2 linked regions of the Sus scrofa genome follow. The protein of the gene in region 2 purifies or fractionates together with the protein of the main gene of each other region. This does not show direct contact. Links are inferred from orthologs where the notes say so. Each region holds a gene or a part of one and is shown on either strand. Other genes may lie near its edges.

Region 1 (6,999 bases), on a different chromosome or scaffold from region 2:
AGCCTCCTCAGACCCCTGAGGGTGGGCTCTGCCTTGGGCTAAAGCTGGGAAAGCTGTCAGGGCCAGGTTGTAAGGGACTCTGCAAACTGTACCGAGGAGTTTGGACTTGATCTTGAGCGATTGCAAAGCCAATGAGGGTTATTAAATGGGAGAGGTCTGCAGGGAACTCCCCTTATCCTGAGCCTATGGACTGCCCTTGGGAAGGAGAGTCCTCAAAACAGGACAGCAGTGCGCAGGATTGGGAGCTGAAACCCAGCCCCAGCAACCATCTCCGCCTGAAGCAACCTTCTCTCAGCCCACTGGTGCTGGCTGGAATCCAAAAGCTAACTCTTTTGTTTTGTTTTGTTTTTTGTTTTGGCCATGCCTGCAGCATGCAGAAGTTCCAAGGCCAGAGAGCACACCCATACCACAGCAGTGACAAAGCCTGATCCTTAACCCACTAGGCCATCAGGGAACTCCCAGAAGCTAACTCTTAAAATATTTCAGATTAGGTTCTAGAAACGAGAAAGGTTGTTTCTGAGGAGCACAAGTCCCTGGCTGAGGATGGGGTCCCTGGCCCTCAGCAGCTTCAGCATGGCCCCATGGAGTAGTGATAGATGCATAGGATTTTGGCATTAGACAGTTCTGAGTTCAAATTTTAGCTCCACCCTCGCCGTATGAACATGGTAAGTGACACAGGCTCTCAGTGCATCAATTTCTTGGTCTGTAAGATGGAGACAACAGTAAGACCTATCTCATAGGTCTGTTTTGAGGATGATATAGGATAATGTATGTAATGCTTTTAGCACCATGTTTGGCCCACAATAAGTGCTCTTTAAAAAGTTGTCCACTTGGTTAATGAATCCAACTAGGAACCATGGGGTTGCGGGTTCCATCCCTGGCCTCACTCAGTGGGTTAAGGATCTGGCGTTGCCGTGAGCTGTGGTGTAGGTTGCAGATGTGGCTTGGATCTGGTGTTGCTGTGGCTGTAGCGCAGGCCGGCAGCTACAGCTCCGATTCGATCCCTAGCCTGGGAACCTCCTTATGCCGTGGGTGTGGCCCTAAAAAGCAAAAAAAAAAAAAAAAAATTGTCCACTTACCATGTATTTAATTGATTATAAGTTGAACATTTTTTCACATTTCAATATCTCTGAAATAGCGGTGCATCTTGCAATTATTGGCTTCTTAAATTTGATCAGACATGGCCAGTAGAAGTCTTCCCTGTCCCCAAACCTTCAGGGGTACATAAAGCTTCTCAGGACAGCTGTGGCTTTTGCTCAGAAGGCACTGTTCCATACCAGGGGCATTCTGGGTCTTCTGCCCATGGACCAAGTCCACCAGAGGCCATGCTCAGGGAGATGCAGACAGAACAGGCCTTTTTGTTCTCACTGGCTGAAGTATCCTCAGCTGGGAGTATGGCAGACTCAAAGGGAAGAGCTGGAGACCTGGGTAGCCCCAGGAACACACAGTCACTCCCCTTGGGATGACAGCTTGACAGCTGAAGTAGTGACCAAGGCAGGCCTCTGCTTCTGATCATCACCACTGCTCACGCTAGCTGCTGACCCTGACAGGTTGATAGTTTGGCTGGTAGACTCCATAGGCTGCCTCAGTCCCCTCTCCTGACCTCTTGTCCCCTGTAAGGTTGGGTCAGCTCCCTTCAGGACTTGGAACAAAGGACTCAGTCTGTACCCAGCTGCTAGCCTCCAGTGTAATTACAGCTCTCTCAGAGCTCAGAGACCTGGCACAGATGGAGTATGAACAAGGGGTATCCCAGGCAGGCAGTTATAATGACCCCTTATACTCTCTTCCCAAGTAGTCCCAACATAGGTGGGAGCGGCCTTGCCTGTGCACAATTTACTGGGTAAGCCAGAGTCATGGAAAGAAATAATGTCGATATACTGACTCAAGTGCTGTGAAGAACAGGCCTGGCTGGGAATGGGGTGGAGAGCACAGCCTAAGTTGTTCTCTTTCTGGACCCTTCTGCCTCACTCCCACCCTCCCCAGCAGCTCTAGAAAACTGATCCACGCCAAGGGCCTTCTGTGTGGGGAGGCTCTGAAAGGCCCTATGTTCCTTCTGGCTTTTAATGGGTATTTTTTTAGTCTTAAGTGAATAGGGGAGGGCAAAATTGCATCTAAATTTCCCCAAACTGCTCCCTGCTCCTTACTGATGCCTTCATCTGGAAAGGTAAGGAAACAGTAAGCAGCTCTTAGCTTCTGCGCTGGCTACGGTTTGGGTTGAACTTAGGCTGATCATTTAACCTTTGTGGACTTCACTTTTCTCATCTGGAGAAAACGTGACTAAAACCCTCCTCATAGGGTTGTGGTAACACTTGCATGCTTTGTATTGTGCCTGATGAAGTGCAGGTATGCATTACCTGGTGGCTGTCTGGTATTTCAGCCTCCCACATTCCCCTCCCTACCTTTTACCCTCTAAGAGAACAGAGGAAATTGCCAAGTAAGGGTTTTGCCTCTTCTTCCAGCCCACTGAGGAAGGAGGAGAAACTGCCAAAGGCTTGGTAGCCAGCCTCCAGGGAACTGGGATTTGGCACTGAGCATCTAAAGTGGTGACTCAGGGCCTTCCTAGGGACATTTTCTCTGGGGCTGTCTCTGCCGAGTCTCCCTCCCCACCACCTCTGGTGGATGTGGCAGAGGGGAACTGAAGGAGTGAAAGATCTCTTGCCTGCCCTTCCTCTGGTGAGACACTGCCACTGCTGTTGCTGTCTTCCCAAAGGCACCCACCTGACCTAGGCTGGGGACCTGTCTGCACACTACGGGTGCGGGCACATGGAATAGACCCAACTTACCCCTCTCCCCTCCGCTCCACAGACATGGCCAACCTCTCCCTTCACGATCATGACGGCTCCAGCGGTGCCTCTGACCAGGACACTCTGGCCCCTCTGCCGCACCCAGGGGCGGCTCCTTGGCCCATGGCTTTCCCTTACCAGTATCCGCCGCCCCCACACCCCTACAATCCGCACCCAGGCTTCCCAGAGCTGGGGTACAGCTATGGCGGGGGCAGCGCCAGCAGTCAGCACAGTGAAGGTAAGGCAGTGCGGGCCATGGAGGGGGCACAGGCGAGCCCTAGGCATCCTCTGCTAGCTCTGAGTGTCCCCCGACCCCGTCTCTGCCTGTCCCCTACAGGCAGCCGGAGCAGTGGCTCCAACCGCAGCGGCAGCGACCGGCGGAAGGAGAAAGACCAGAAGGCCGGGGACTCAAAGTCGGGTGGCAGCGGCAGCGAGTCGGACCACACGACCCGCAGCAGCCTGCGGGGGCCTCGGGAACGCGCGCCCAGCGAGCGCTCGGGCCCTGCCACCAGCGAGCACAGCCACCGCAGCCACCACTCGCTGGCCAGCAGCCTGCGCAGCCATCACACACATCCGAGCTACGGCCCCCCCGGCGTGCCCCCTCTCTACGGCCCCCCCATGCTGATGATGCCCCCACCGCCTGCGGCCATGGGGCCCCCGGGAGCCCCTCCGGGCCGCGACCTGGCCTCCGTGCCCCCTGAACTGACCGCCAGCAGACAGTCCTTCCGCATGGCCATGGGAAACCCCAGTGAGTTCTTTGTGGATGTGATGTGAGAGGGCCCCTCCCCCATTTCCATCCCATCCTGCCCGGGCCGCCTGCATCCCTCTCTCAGTCCGTCTTTTTTACTTTGTCTGGTACCTGAAAGGGAAATAAACGGAACTAAATCCAGGCGCGCTAACTGCTCGCTGGGTGCAGCGAGGGCGAGGTGCACCCACTGATCGCAACTGCAACCCCTAACCTGCCGCCGCCCCAGCTTGTCCCTCCGCCCACTAACCGCTGTACAAGACTTCCCCAGGATCCTTCAAGTCCCTGGGACCCAACTTGCTGGTGCTGCTCCTTTCCCCCACCCCCAACACTTCAGAAGTTGACCCCAACAGTGCCCTTGAGAGCCAGCATACCCCTCATTCCTTTTCACTATTCATTCATATGTATCATCCCGTCTGTTAACCCCATTCCCTCAAGCATGTGTGCCAGTCTCTTGATTTTTCCCCTTAATACTGACACCAAAAAGAGATTTGCTTCATCTACCCTTCCTTCTAATTGTTCCCCCCCACCTGCTGCCTCAGCCCTGCACCCTAGAGCTGTAGTCACCTCCAATAACCATCTATGCTATCCCTGCCTGCGCTTGACCTTAGCAGAAGCCCAGTGGGCCCTTCCTTCAGTTGCCTGAGCTGCTCGTGGATTCCAGGGAGCATCTCTGCTGTATGTCCAGACCTACCCTTGCCCCATGCTTGCCCTGTGCCCTGCTTCCTTCAGACCCCTAACCCTACTAACCAGCACACTCATCTCACCTCTGGGCCTGAAACATTTCTTTTCTTTCTTTTTTCCTCCCTCAATTTTTCCTGGGCCTGGAGCAGCCAAGAATTTCGGGCTGTTTGACTTTCTGTGAGCCCCCAGCGAGGGGAGGCCCAGCCTCCGAGGAGACCAGGAACCCTGCTTCAGCAGCCCCTCAGGGCTTCCCAAGGATATTCAGCCCCCACACCTACACTTCAACATGTTGAGTCACTAGCTTCTGAGGAGCACCCCAGCCTCTCACCTATGTATAAGAGACTCTGTTCCCCTTTCTCCAGAGTTTCTTTCTTTCCTTCTTTCTTTGCTTCTCTCTCTCCCTCTCCCTTTCCCTCTCCCTTGTAGGCCCCCCCCCCCCTACTACGTGCCTATGCAACTTCTCTTAAGCCTCAGGGCTGGTCCCTGTCCGGAGGGCTGGACCCTCTCCTAGTCCTCCTAGGTTGTGGGGCTGGTCCCCAGACTTCCCTCTCCTTTCCCCCCACAGCCCTCAAACCTCCCACACATGTCCCCATCATCTTCCTATCTGGATAAATAGCCCAAGCTGAATCTCAGGTTGGGCTCAGCAGAGGACTCCCCAGGCAAATGACAAGCTGTTCTCACCCTGCTTTCTACCCCACACACCCTTCCCTGTTTTCACAGTTACCATGATGACCCAGAGCAAGGTTGGGCAGGGGGACTTCCAGAGCGCCAAGTTTTATTTTTTACTTTATTCCTTTGTTTAAGCAAAGCACAACTTTCTCTATAAGCCTCTTCTGTAAATTCTGGCTCACCTAGGCTTCCATATTTTTAGGATTGGGGTGTCAAGAGTAAGATGAAGTCCTAAGCTCTGGCCTTTGGGGCAAACCAGGGTAGGGGTGTTTGGGCATTCATTCATTTAACAAACATTCCCTGGGGGTTTTGGTGCATAGGGTTGTGTTAGAAGTGTGACTCAGTTTTGCCTTCCTCCTGGGAGCTCTAGGTTTGCTCCCAATCCAGACTATGTTTTCCTTAGCCACCCCATAGGGCTGCCTCTTGTACTCTTCCTCCTCCAATTCTTCTGTTTCCAACTCTTGAGGATTCCTCCACCACTGCTCACACCTTCAGGGTCCTTGTATTCTATCTTTGATCCACTTCTCTTTCCTCACTCCCAAAATGGTGTCATCCATCCTGATGTCCTCAACTGCCAGTGATATGCTGGTGTTTCCCAAATATATATCTCCATCTCTAAATTCCCTCTATTTTTAGATCTGTATTTTTATCACCTACTGGACCTCTCCATGGTCATGGCCATAAGGATCCAATTCATCCCTCTCCCCCACCCAAGTGTGTTCCTCCTGAATTCCAATCCTGGTTACCTTCATCACACTCTACATAGGCTCACCAGCTAGAAATATTTATGGGCTTAAATTCCTTCCCATACCTTACTAGTCAGTATATCATATCCATTCCTCTCCAGCAATCTTTCTTGAATTTGTCCCTTCCTCTCCCCTCTGCCTCTATTCTAGTTCACAGGAGCATGGGATTTGGAGTCAGGTTATTCTGGGTTTGAATCCCAACTCTACTACTTTTTGGTTGCGTGATAGGAGAGTTATTTAATCTCTCTGAGCCTCAGTTTCCTCATATGTAAAGTGACAATAATAATACCTACCTCACAGGGTTGTTGTGAGGATTTAATTAGATATTGTACGAAAAGTGCCTAGCACAGTGCCTGGCACACAGTAGAATAGGTGCTCAATAAATGGTAGCTATTGTTATTATTATCATCATCATTATTATTTACTCTAAATTGATAAGACTTTAGGGTATGTATTGAGGACAAAGCTTTTGGAAAGGTAGAAGTGAAACCTTGAGTGATGGTTCAAGAATTACAGTATTCAGTCACTTAATGGCTTCAGTCTGTGACCCCGATTTGAGAGAAGCCAGATCTTCATCCTACCATATTCTGGCTTCTACCAAGAGGATACTAGGAACAGTAAGGTTTGCAACTGGTTTGCCTTTTCTTGCCCTTCCTTCCTCTCATGATGGGCTCAGCCCTGCCTATGGAAGGCAGCAGGGTATCTCTCTCTACAGAAAGAGAAGAGCCAGCTGATTTTCTTCAGGTCCCATAAATGCCAGGGTTGGCCCTGTCTCCTCAGCTTGCATGTGAAGATTAACTCTGTTCATCAGAGAAGGGATTTCAAATCCCACGTCCAATTAAATTCAAGTCACCAATGGTTTTCTGAACAACATATATGCCTGTCACTAGAAGGCATACATTTCCTGGTCTTGAGCTCACAGTCACATAGGTATAACTGAGGTAGAATATGACATATTTTCATAAAGCTTTAACTAGTTTCTTTCAAATATTTGCCTCCTACTACTTTGGGTCTTGATCCCTGGGAAAAGGCTCATGTCTGTAACCAATATATATTGCCAAAAAAGGTGGGAAAATCAGAGGTGATATTACAAAGCAGTAAACTCAGCACAAATACTTCTACTGCCAAAGTCATGTATTTGTGTGTAAAGAGAAGACAACCAGGAGTTCCCGTCCTGGATCAGTGGTTAACGAATCCAAGTAGGAACCGTGAGGTTGCGGGTTCGATCCCTGGCCTGGCGCAGTGGGTTAAGGATCCAGCATTGCGGTGAACTGTGGTGTAGGTCGCAGACGTGGCTCGGATCTGGCGTTGCTGTGGCTGTGGGGTAGGCCGGCAGCTGTAGCTCTGATTAGACCCCTAGCCTGGGAACCTC
Region 2 (7,864 bases):
CTTCCTCTATGGCCCTTTCGGCTCCAGGACAAACCGTGCCTGGGGTTGGGCACCGCCCGCCTTTGGCACCCACCCGGCCGCCTCAGGAGCGCTGCCCTGTGTCCTGCCCTCAGCCCCTCCCTGCTCCAGGCCTCCAAGCCGTCTGGTCAGCGTCGGCCCGCACGCTGGTCTCTGAGCCCCCATGTGACGGGCTGACCTTGTGAGGAGCCAGGCCATGCTTCCTCCTGCTTGGCGGGTGAGGACTGGGGGTGCAGAGGCAAGACCGTGCCCAGTGCCCACTGGCGGGAGGGCCCCCGTGGTGCCCGCCTCGCGGTGTCTGAAGGCCGGGGCCCGCAGCTACTGCCCACCTTCGGGTCCTCGCAGGTCTCTTCCTGACGGCAGCACCCCTGCCGCTCCCGTCCCCTCTCACTCAGACCCCGTGGCTTCGATGTCTTTAAACACATGTTTCTAGAAAGGACGTTATTGGGCAGCCGGTGAGGTCGGAATGAGAGCAGTGATTAGATAACGTGGTATCAGGATCCTTTTTTTGAAATCAGTCGTGCTGGGTTAGGTAGAGGAGCGTCCTTGGTTTTGGTCACATTCGTCCTGAAGTGCTGAGGAAGTAACAGGCGTCCCATGTGCAGTGTTCTCTCCTGGCTCAGAAGGGGGGGTGTGCGTGTGGCGTGCCTAGGGGACAGAGTGACAGCAGCGTGGCAGGTGACGCTGAGGGGCTCTTGCTCGTGTTTTGGATTTGAAATTATTTTGCCTTCAAGCTCCCCCTCCCCAAAAGCCATGCAGTGGACCGCTGCGGAGTGTAGGTAAAGCTGCCGTCCCTGAAAGAAGGAGCCCTGCGTCATCCTGCCTCGGTCCCAACCCGCTGGGACCCAGAATTTCGTGTCCCTCATCCGTGCACACCTGAGCCCCCCCTGGGGTACAGGGTGGCCACTGCTGGGGGCAGCCGGTCCCGCTCCTTGGGGCTCTCTGCCCCTCGCCCAGCCTGGAGCCCTCGGCTGCCCTGGGTCCTGTCCCGAGTCCCGGCCTGGGCGGTGCTCGAGCAACGCTTCTCCAGGGTGGCGGCCACCTCACCGGCGGTGTCCCCTTGCAGCGCACCTACCGAATGCCAAAGGAAGTCCGCGTGGAGCCCCAGAAGTTCGCCGCAGAGCTCATCCACCGCCTGGAGGCCGTCCAGCGGACGCGGGAGGCGGAGGAGAAGCTGGAGGAGCGGCTGAAGCGCGTGCGGATGGTGAGTGGGCCCTGGCGGGGCCGCCTGCTTGCGCCCAGGGCACCTGTGGCCCTGCCGGAGCTCCGCTGGCCCGGCCTGGGGACAGGTCTGGCGCGCTCCTGTGCCGGCTGCGTCCTGCTCGGCTCCCGGTGCTCCTCGAGCCCCGTGGAGTCTGGACGCAGGTTCTGTTTTGTCTAGTTTTCTGACCGTAGCCTCACTTGATGGGACGTTGGATGCTGAGAAGGTTCACGATATCGGTGACGTGTTTGCCTGAGTACCTGTCTGCCTCTAGTTGCTTCTGTTGCCCTGGGGTCCTTCTGCTGGACGCCCGCTTTCCACACATGCGAGGCCTCTGAACGGAGGCGGCTGTGGCGGGCGTGCCCCTCACCCCCCTCACTGGGCCGTCCCTCCTGGGCCCGCGGCCTCGGGGCTTGGGCCCTCCGCTTAGAGGGATCCGTCTCTTCTGGATATTTTGTCCAGTACCTGAAACTCAGAAATGCGATGTTTCTTGAAGGATTTATTTCTCAACCCAGACACTGGCTCTTGGATTTAAGATGCGGGGAGTTCCCGTCAAGGCGCAGTAGTTAACGAATCCGACTAGGAACCATGAGGTTGCGGGTTTGATCCCTGGGCTCACTCAGTGGGTTAAGGATCTGACGCTGCCATGAACCATGGTGTAGGTCACAGATGTGGCTCGGATCCCGCGTGGCTGTGGCTGTGGCTGTGGCTGTGGCTGTGGCCAGCAGCTACAGCTCCAATTTGACCCCTAGCCTGGCAACCTCTGTGTGCTGTGAGTGTGGCCCTAAAAAGAAAAAATAATAACAATAATAATAGTAAAAATAGATAAGATGCAGACCCTGAGCCCCTCAAGCCCTGTTGGCCAGCGCCCTGCTGTTCCACGCTGCCGTGTCCCAGGTGGGCCGTGTGGAGGCGCTGTCATGGGTTTGGCAGGTGGTCACCCCTGGCGCTCTTCTCTGGCGCCTGCCTGTGCCCCGCAGCTGCTGTCTGGGGCTCCAGGGCTCTCGCGTTGCGCCCAGCTCGCCCCCTTCCTCCCACGTGCAGATGACAGGCAGGTGTCCGGTAGCGTGTCAGAACCCAGATTCATCCCATGTACCCAGTGACCCCTGCAGCCCGGAGAGAGCAGGAGCGCGAAGGTGCTCGGGTGCGCGTGTGCACATGCGGCCTCTAGCTCCCTCCCGTCGGGCGACTTGGCCAGGCCGAGAGGGCTCTGCTCCCCACCGCCCCCGGGGTCGCCTCACTGCTGGGGAGCGAGTGGCTGGCGGGGCACAGTCGCTGCCGTCGTGCCCTCCCAGGCTGCTCTTGTTTGGAGCCCTCGGACCCCTCCAGGAGCTGAAGGACAGCTGGGGTCGGGGACCACATGTCAGTGGGGAGGGGCCCGGCGGCAGCCCCGACAGGCCTCTGGTGCGCAGAGCGGGGTCTCTGAGAGGCCCAGGTGCTCGCGTGTGGCGAGGCCGCATCCTCCTGCTCTGGCAGCAGGTCCGGGGCACGGCCTCTGTGAGAGAGAGGCTTTCGTGCTCTGAAAACAAACGTGCTTGGGCACTAACGTGCATCGCCGTGTGGAGGAAGTGTGAGCAGGCACGCGGCTGCTGCCTTTGCGCTGTAGAGTTGAGCTAGTGTGGTCCAGGTTTTGGTCTCGGCTCCAGGGCTGTGTGTCCTCGTGGTCCCGGCAGGTCAGCGTTGCAGGGGGACCTCCGCCTTCCCCAGGCAGTTGTGGCCGTAGGTTGGAGCAGGCACTTCTTTTTTGTTTTGTTTTTATGGCCGCACCATGGCACATGAAGTTCCTGGGCCAGGGATCAGATCTGAGCCACAGCCAGGCCATACACAGCAGCTGTGGCATCATCAGATCCTGTCTCTCACCGCACCGGGCCGGGGTTCGAACCCGTGCCTCCGTAGCATCCTGAGCAGCCGCAGTCAGGGTCTTAAGCCATTGCACCACAGTAGGAGCTCCTGAGCCTGTGTGTCTGACATCTGAGTCTGAGACTCTGTGGCGTCCCGGCAGGCGAGGGCAGACGGGGTGCTGTTCTCTCATTTGGCAGCGTGTAAACGAGCAGCCCTGCATTTCTCCAGGGTCAGTTCAGGAAGCAGGAGGAGGGCGCAGGGCCTCCATCTCAGGTGGGCTTCGTGTGGGGGCCTCGGGTTGGGGTCCCTACAGCTGGCAGCGCCATCTCAGGTTTGTTAGCGGGTGCGATTGTAACTTAGGTGAGTTGTACTGGGAAAGAGATTTCTCTTCTAAGAGGAATAACTACGCATTTTTAAATGACTTATTTTCATTGTAAAATCTGGAAAATAAAAGTAAAAGAAAATGGGGGTTCTCGTGGTGGTTTAGCAGTAATGAACCCACCTAGTGTCCATGAGGACTCGGGTTTGAGCCCCAGCCCCACTCAGTGGGTGACGGATGTGGTGTGGCTGTGGCGGTGGTGGAGGCCGGCAGCTGCAGCTCCGATTCAGCCCCTGGCCTGGGAACCGCCATGTGCCACAGGCGCGGCCCTAAAAAGCCAGGAAAAACAAAGAAAGAAAAAGAAAAAGAATATTAGCAGCTGAATGTTAGGTGAACCTGTGGCATTTTGAAACCCCAGGTGGAATTTCGGTGCACGCAGAGCTGTTAAGGAGGCTGGAGCTCGGGTCCCCAGGCGTCCAGAAGCTCCCCGTGGCTCCCTGGCCTTTCAGGGCAGTCGGCGTCAGCAGCGCCCAGGCCACCAAGGCCTGGCCAACAGTTTCCCGGGGCCCCCAGCCCCTCATCCCTGCAGAGCGTGGGGCTGGGACGGAGACACTGGTCGGGTCTCTGCTGGGGCGACTCCCAGCCACGCCCGTGAGGTGCGCGTCCCCTGGGTCCGTGCCCCTCTCCCCATCTGTCCTCTTTGGCGGCTCGTCCACGTGACACGCTGCCGCTGTGCAGGGCCGAGGAGCTGGGCGGTAGACCTGTGGAGACCTGTTCGTGCTCATCCAGGGCGGCTTTGTCTCCCGGTCTCTCAGTCGTGACCGTCTCACTCCGCATGCTGGTGGGGGCGAGCCCGCGAGACAGGAATCCCAAACAGGTGTCCCTTCAGGAATTACAGCAATCACACATTCCTGTGTACAGATATGGGTGTGGTCACTGTTTGAGTCCAGGGAAACCACTGGCTCAGGGTGAGAATTGGAGTTCCCATCGTGGCGCAGCGGAAACGCATCCGACTAGGAACCATGAGGTTGGGGGTTCGATCCCTGGCCTCGCTCAGCGGGTTAAGGATCCGGCGTGGCTGTGGCTGTGCTGTAGGCCAGCAGCTGTAGCTCCGATTGGACCCTTAGCCGGGGAAGCTCCATGTGCCCCGAGTGCGGCCCTTTTAAAAAAAGACGAAAAAGAGCTCATCTGTCGATGGGCATGATGGAAGATACGGCCGTGAGATTGAGGAGTAGGAAAACTCAAAAACAGTGCAGTTTTTATTGAGGCATCGGAGAAAGCAGAGGCAGGGCCCAGCTTCCTGGCGGGCTTCTGGGCCTGTGGCTTCGTGCCCCTCCTGGGCGCCCTCCTGCCGCGCAGCCCACCCACAGCCCTGCCGCATGCGAGGGACCCTGGCCTGGCCCCGCCTAGTCCTGGCCTCTGCTGGTCTGGTGTTTGTCTCCTCAGGTGTGGGACTTCTACGGTGTGGGCAGTGCCAAGAGGTGACGCGCAGCCTTGTCCCCACAGGAGGAGGAAGGCGAAGGTGGTGATGTGTCCTCTGCCCCCCCAGGGGCCAGTCACAAGCTGCCTGCGGCCCCGGCCTGGCACCACTTCCCAGCGCGCTACGCGGACGTGGGCTGCGTGGGGCTGCGGGACGCGCACGAGGAGAACCCCGAGAGCATCCTGGACGAGCACGTGCAGCGGGTCATGCGGACACCGGGCTGCCAGTCGCCAGGACCCGGCCACCGCTCCCCGGAGAACTCGCACATGCCCAAGATCGGGGTGCTGGGGGCCGCGGTGCCCGGACACGGAAAGCACGCGCCCAAGTTGGGGGTGAAGCTCGACGCAGCTGGCCTGCACCTCCACAGACACAGCCACCACCATGGCCACCATGGTGCCGCCAGGCCCAAGGAGCCGGCCGAGGCCGAGGCCTCCCGCCGGGTCCAGAGCAGCTTCGCATGGGGCCCGGAGCTGCACGGCCACGCGGCCAAGCCCCGCAGCCACTTGGAGAGCCTGGGGACCCCTCTCAACACCGGTGACAGCCTGGCCTACAGGTGGGTGTCTGCGGCAGCCCGCACGTGGGGACAGGCCAGGGCTGTGCTCACGTCGTCCCGTGTCGGTGTCGGCTCGAGGCCTGAGGCCGTGTGTCCTGTGGACCCTGTGCCAGGGTCCACGCCGGATTCCCCTGTAACAGTCCTTAAACTGAGGTCAGCCCCAGAGGCTGCATTAAACCCGTGTGCCCGGGCGTCCTGATCCCTGGGCTTCCGCCTCGAGTGTGGTGGGATCAGATGCGCCCAGTGCCGAGGGCCTGCCTGGGTGAGGAGGTGGCCGGGCCCTGGCTGCTACCACCTTGGCTCCAGCCCTCCCAGACGGTGCTGCTGGACCCTTCCTTCCCTCCCCGCCGTCGCATCCAGCCCGCGGCGCTGTCGAGGCCTCTGCCCTTTGGGTCCCCCTCCCCCCACCATACGGCTCGCAGCAGCAGCAGGCCAGCGGACGGCAGCGGTGGCCCGGGTCTTGCTCTTGCAGCGGCAAGGCAGGCATGACCTCCAAAAGAAGCGCCAAGAAGGCCGAGTCAGGGAGGAGTGCCAGCGCAGAGGCACCGGGCCCCTCCGAGGATGCGGAGAAGAACCAGAAGATCATGCAGTGGATCATCGAGGGCGAGAAGGAGATCAGCAGGCACCGGAAGGCTGGGCATGGGTGAGGGGGCGTGGCCGAGGGGGCCTGGGTGAGAGGGCACAGCTGAGGGGGGCCCCCTGCCAGCAACCTGACCAGCTGGTCTAGCCACGGGCCACGGGCCGTGGACACGAGAAACCTGTAGAATGGGGCCCGGTCCGTGGTAGCCTTAGGGTGGTGCCTTCCTGTGGGGGCGGGATCGTCAGGGAGCTTCAATGTCTGTCCCCGCTGCCACCCACCTACCTCGAGGCCTGCCAGGCAGGGGCTGCTGCCACCTGGATGCCTTCCGGGTCTGACCTGCTTATCCCTGGCAGCTGGGGGCCGGTTCTCATCTGCTCTTTGATCCTCTGGGCTCTGTGTGGTCAGTCTCGGTGTCACCCCCGTCCCCATCACGGGGGGGATGGGGGCCCGAGGCTGCTGGAGTCTCCCCTTGGTGGGCAGGCCATCCGACTCCCACAGGCAGATGCCCTCTGCCCTCCCGGGCACGGCTGGGGAGGCCTCAGTGGTGCATGAGGCAGGCGAGTTGGACCCGGGGTCCCTGATCTTGCCTGCAGGCGACCTGGAAATGAGCCCTCTGCCAGTGTCCAGACGCTTTGCAGCCGTGCTGCTCGGGGGCCCACTCTGGGAGCCCCTCCTCGTGGGGTTGGGTGGGGTGGATTCTCAGCCTCTGATGTTCACCAGGGGTGGCTCTGTCCTCGCAGCGCCTACTGCATGGAGAGTTTCTAGGGGACAGAGCAGGAGTGGAAGGGTCTCCCGGCTTCGGCAGCCTCCTGCCCTCTGCGTGGCTGTGGACCTGGGGGGTGGCAGCGTGGGGACCAATGGCCCTGGGCGGGGAGGGAGGAGCAAGGAGCCAGGGCCAGGGGCTGGGCTTCCTGTGGGGCTTTTTGGAGTCCGCCCCCAGCCTGAGGCGGTTTTGGTGTCACAGGGGCACTGGCGGCCCCTTCCTGGGATTCTCTTTTTTTTTTTTTGTCTTTTGTCTTTTTAGGGCCACACACATGGAGGTTCCCAGGCTAGGGGTCCAATCGGAGCTGTAGCCACCGGCCTACGGCACAGCCGCAGCAACACAGGATCCGAGCCGCATCTGCAAGCTTCATCACAGCTCAGGGTAACGCCGGATCCTTCACCCACTGGGCGAGGCCAGGGATCGAACCCGCAACCTCATGGATACTAGTCGGGTTTGTCACCCTCTGAGCCACGACGGGAACTCCGGGATTCTCTGGTTTTTGCTCCCGGTGCTAAGCTTGCTTTCCGAGGCCTCCGGGCTCAGCTCAGAGAAGCCGCTGTTTCCCCTCAGATCCCCCTAGTGGGCGAGCAAGGGCCGGTCACCCAGGTGCAGCCTGTTCTCAGTGTCTGATAAAGGAGAATGGGCAGCACGTTGAGGGAAAATCAGGGAATTGATAGGTGCAGAATTATGTCAACTATGTCGGGGGTTTTTGGGGGGGCCCTTTTGTTTGAGGGCCGCACTTGCGGCCTATGGAAGGTCCCAGGAATTTCCCAGCTGTAGCGAATTGGAGCCACAGCTGCCGGCCTCCACCACAGCTGCCGGCCTCCACCACAGCTGCCGGCCTCCACCACAGCTCACGTCAACACCAGATCCTTAACCCAGTGAGCGAGGCCAGGGATCGAACCAGCGTCCTTAAAGATGCTAGTCGGGTTCGTTAACCATTGAGCCACGACAGGCACTGCCCGGTGAAGTTTTTTTTTTTTTGTCTTTTTGCCCTTTCTGGGGCTGCTCCCGTGGCATATGGAGGTTCCCAGGCTAGGGGTCGAATCGGAGCTGCATCCACCGGCCTACGCCAGAGCCACAGCAACACGGGATCCGAGCTGCGTCT

What was found.
Region 1: the proteins of AXIN1 (region 2) and DVL3 purify together in Homo sapiens (affinity purification with western blotting; 3 studies listed by BioGRID and IntAct, with this or other methods). This does not show direct contact. The link is inferred for Sus scrofa from reciprocal best matches to the Homo sapiens genes AXIN1 and DVL3.

Annotation. Positions count from the first base shown.
Region 1 is NC_010455.5:122,086,948-122,093,946, forward strand, and holds the end of DVL3 (segment polarity protein dishevelled homolog DVL-3), read left to right. Parts: intron 1-2,805; coding exon 2,806-3,021; intron 3,022-3,120; coding exon 3,121-3,557; 3' UTR 3,558-3,672; downstream 3,673-6,999. UniProt on the Homo sapiens protein: Involved in the signal transduction pathway mediated by multiple Wnt genes.
Region 2 is NC_010445.4:41,381,007-41,388,870, forward strand, and holds part of AXIN1 (axin-1), read left to right. Parts: intron 1-1,084; coding exon 1,085-1,222; intron 1,223-4,886; coding exon 4,887-5,413; intron 5,414-5,885; coding exon 5,886-6,056; intron 6,057-7,864. UniProt on the Homo sapiens protein: Component of the beta-catenin destruction complex required for regulating CTNNB1 levels through phosphorylation and ubiquitination, and modulating Wnt-signaling.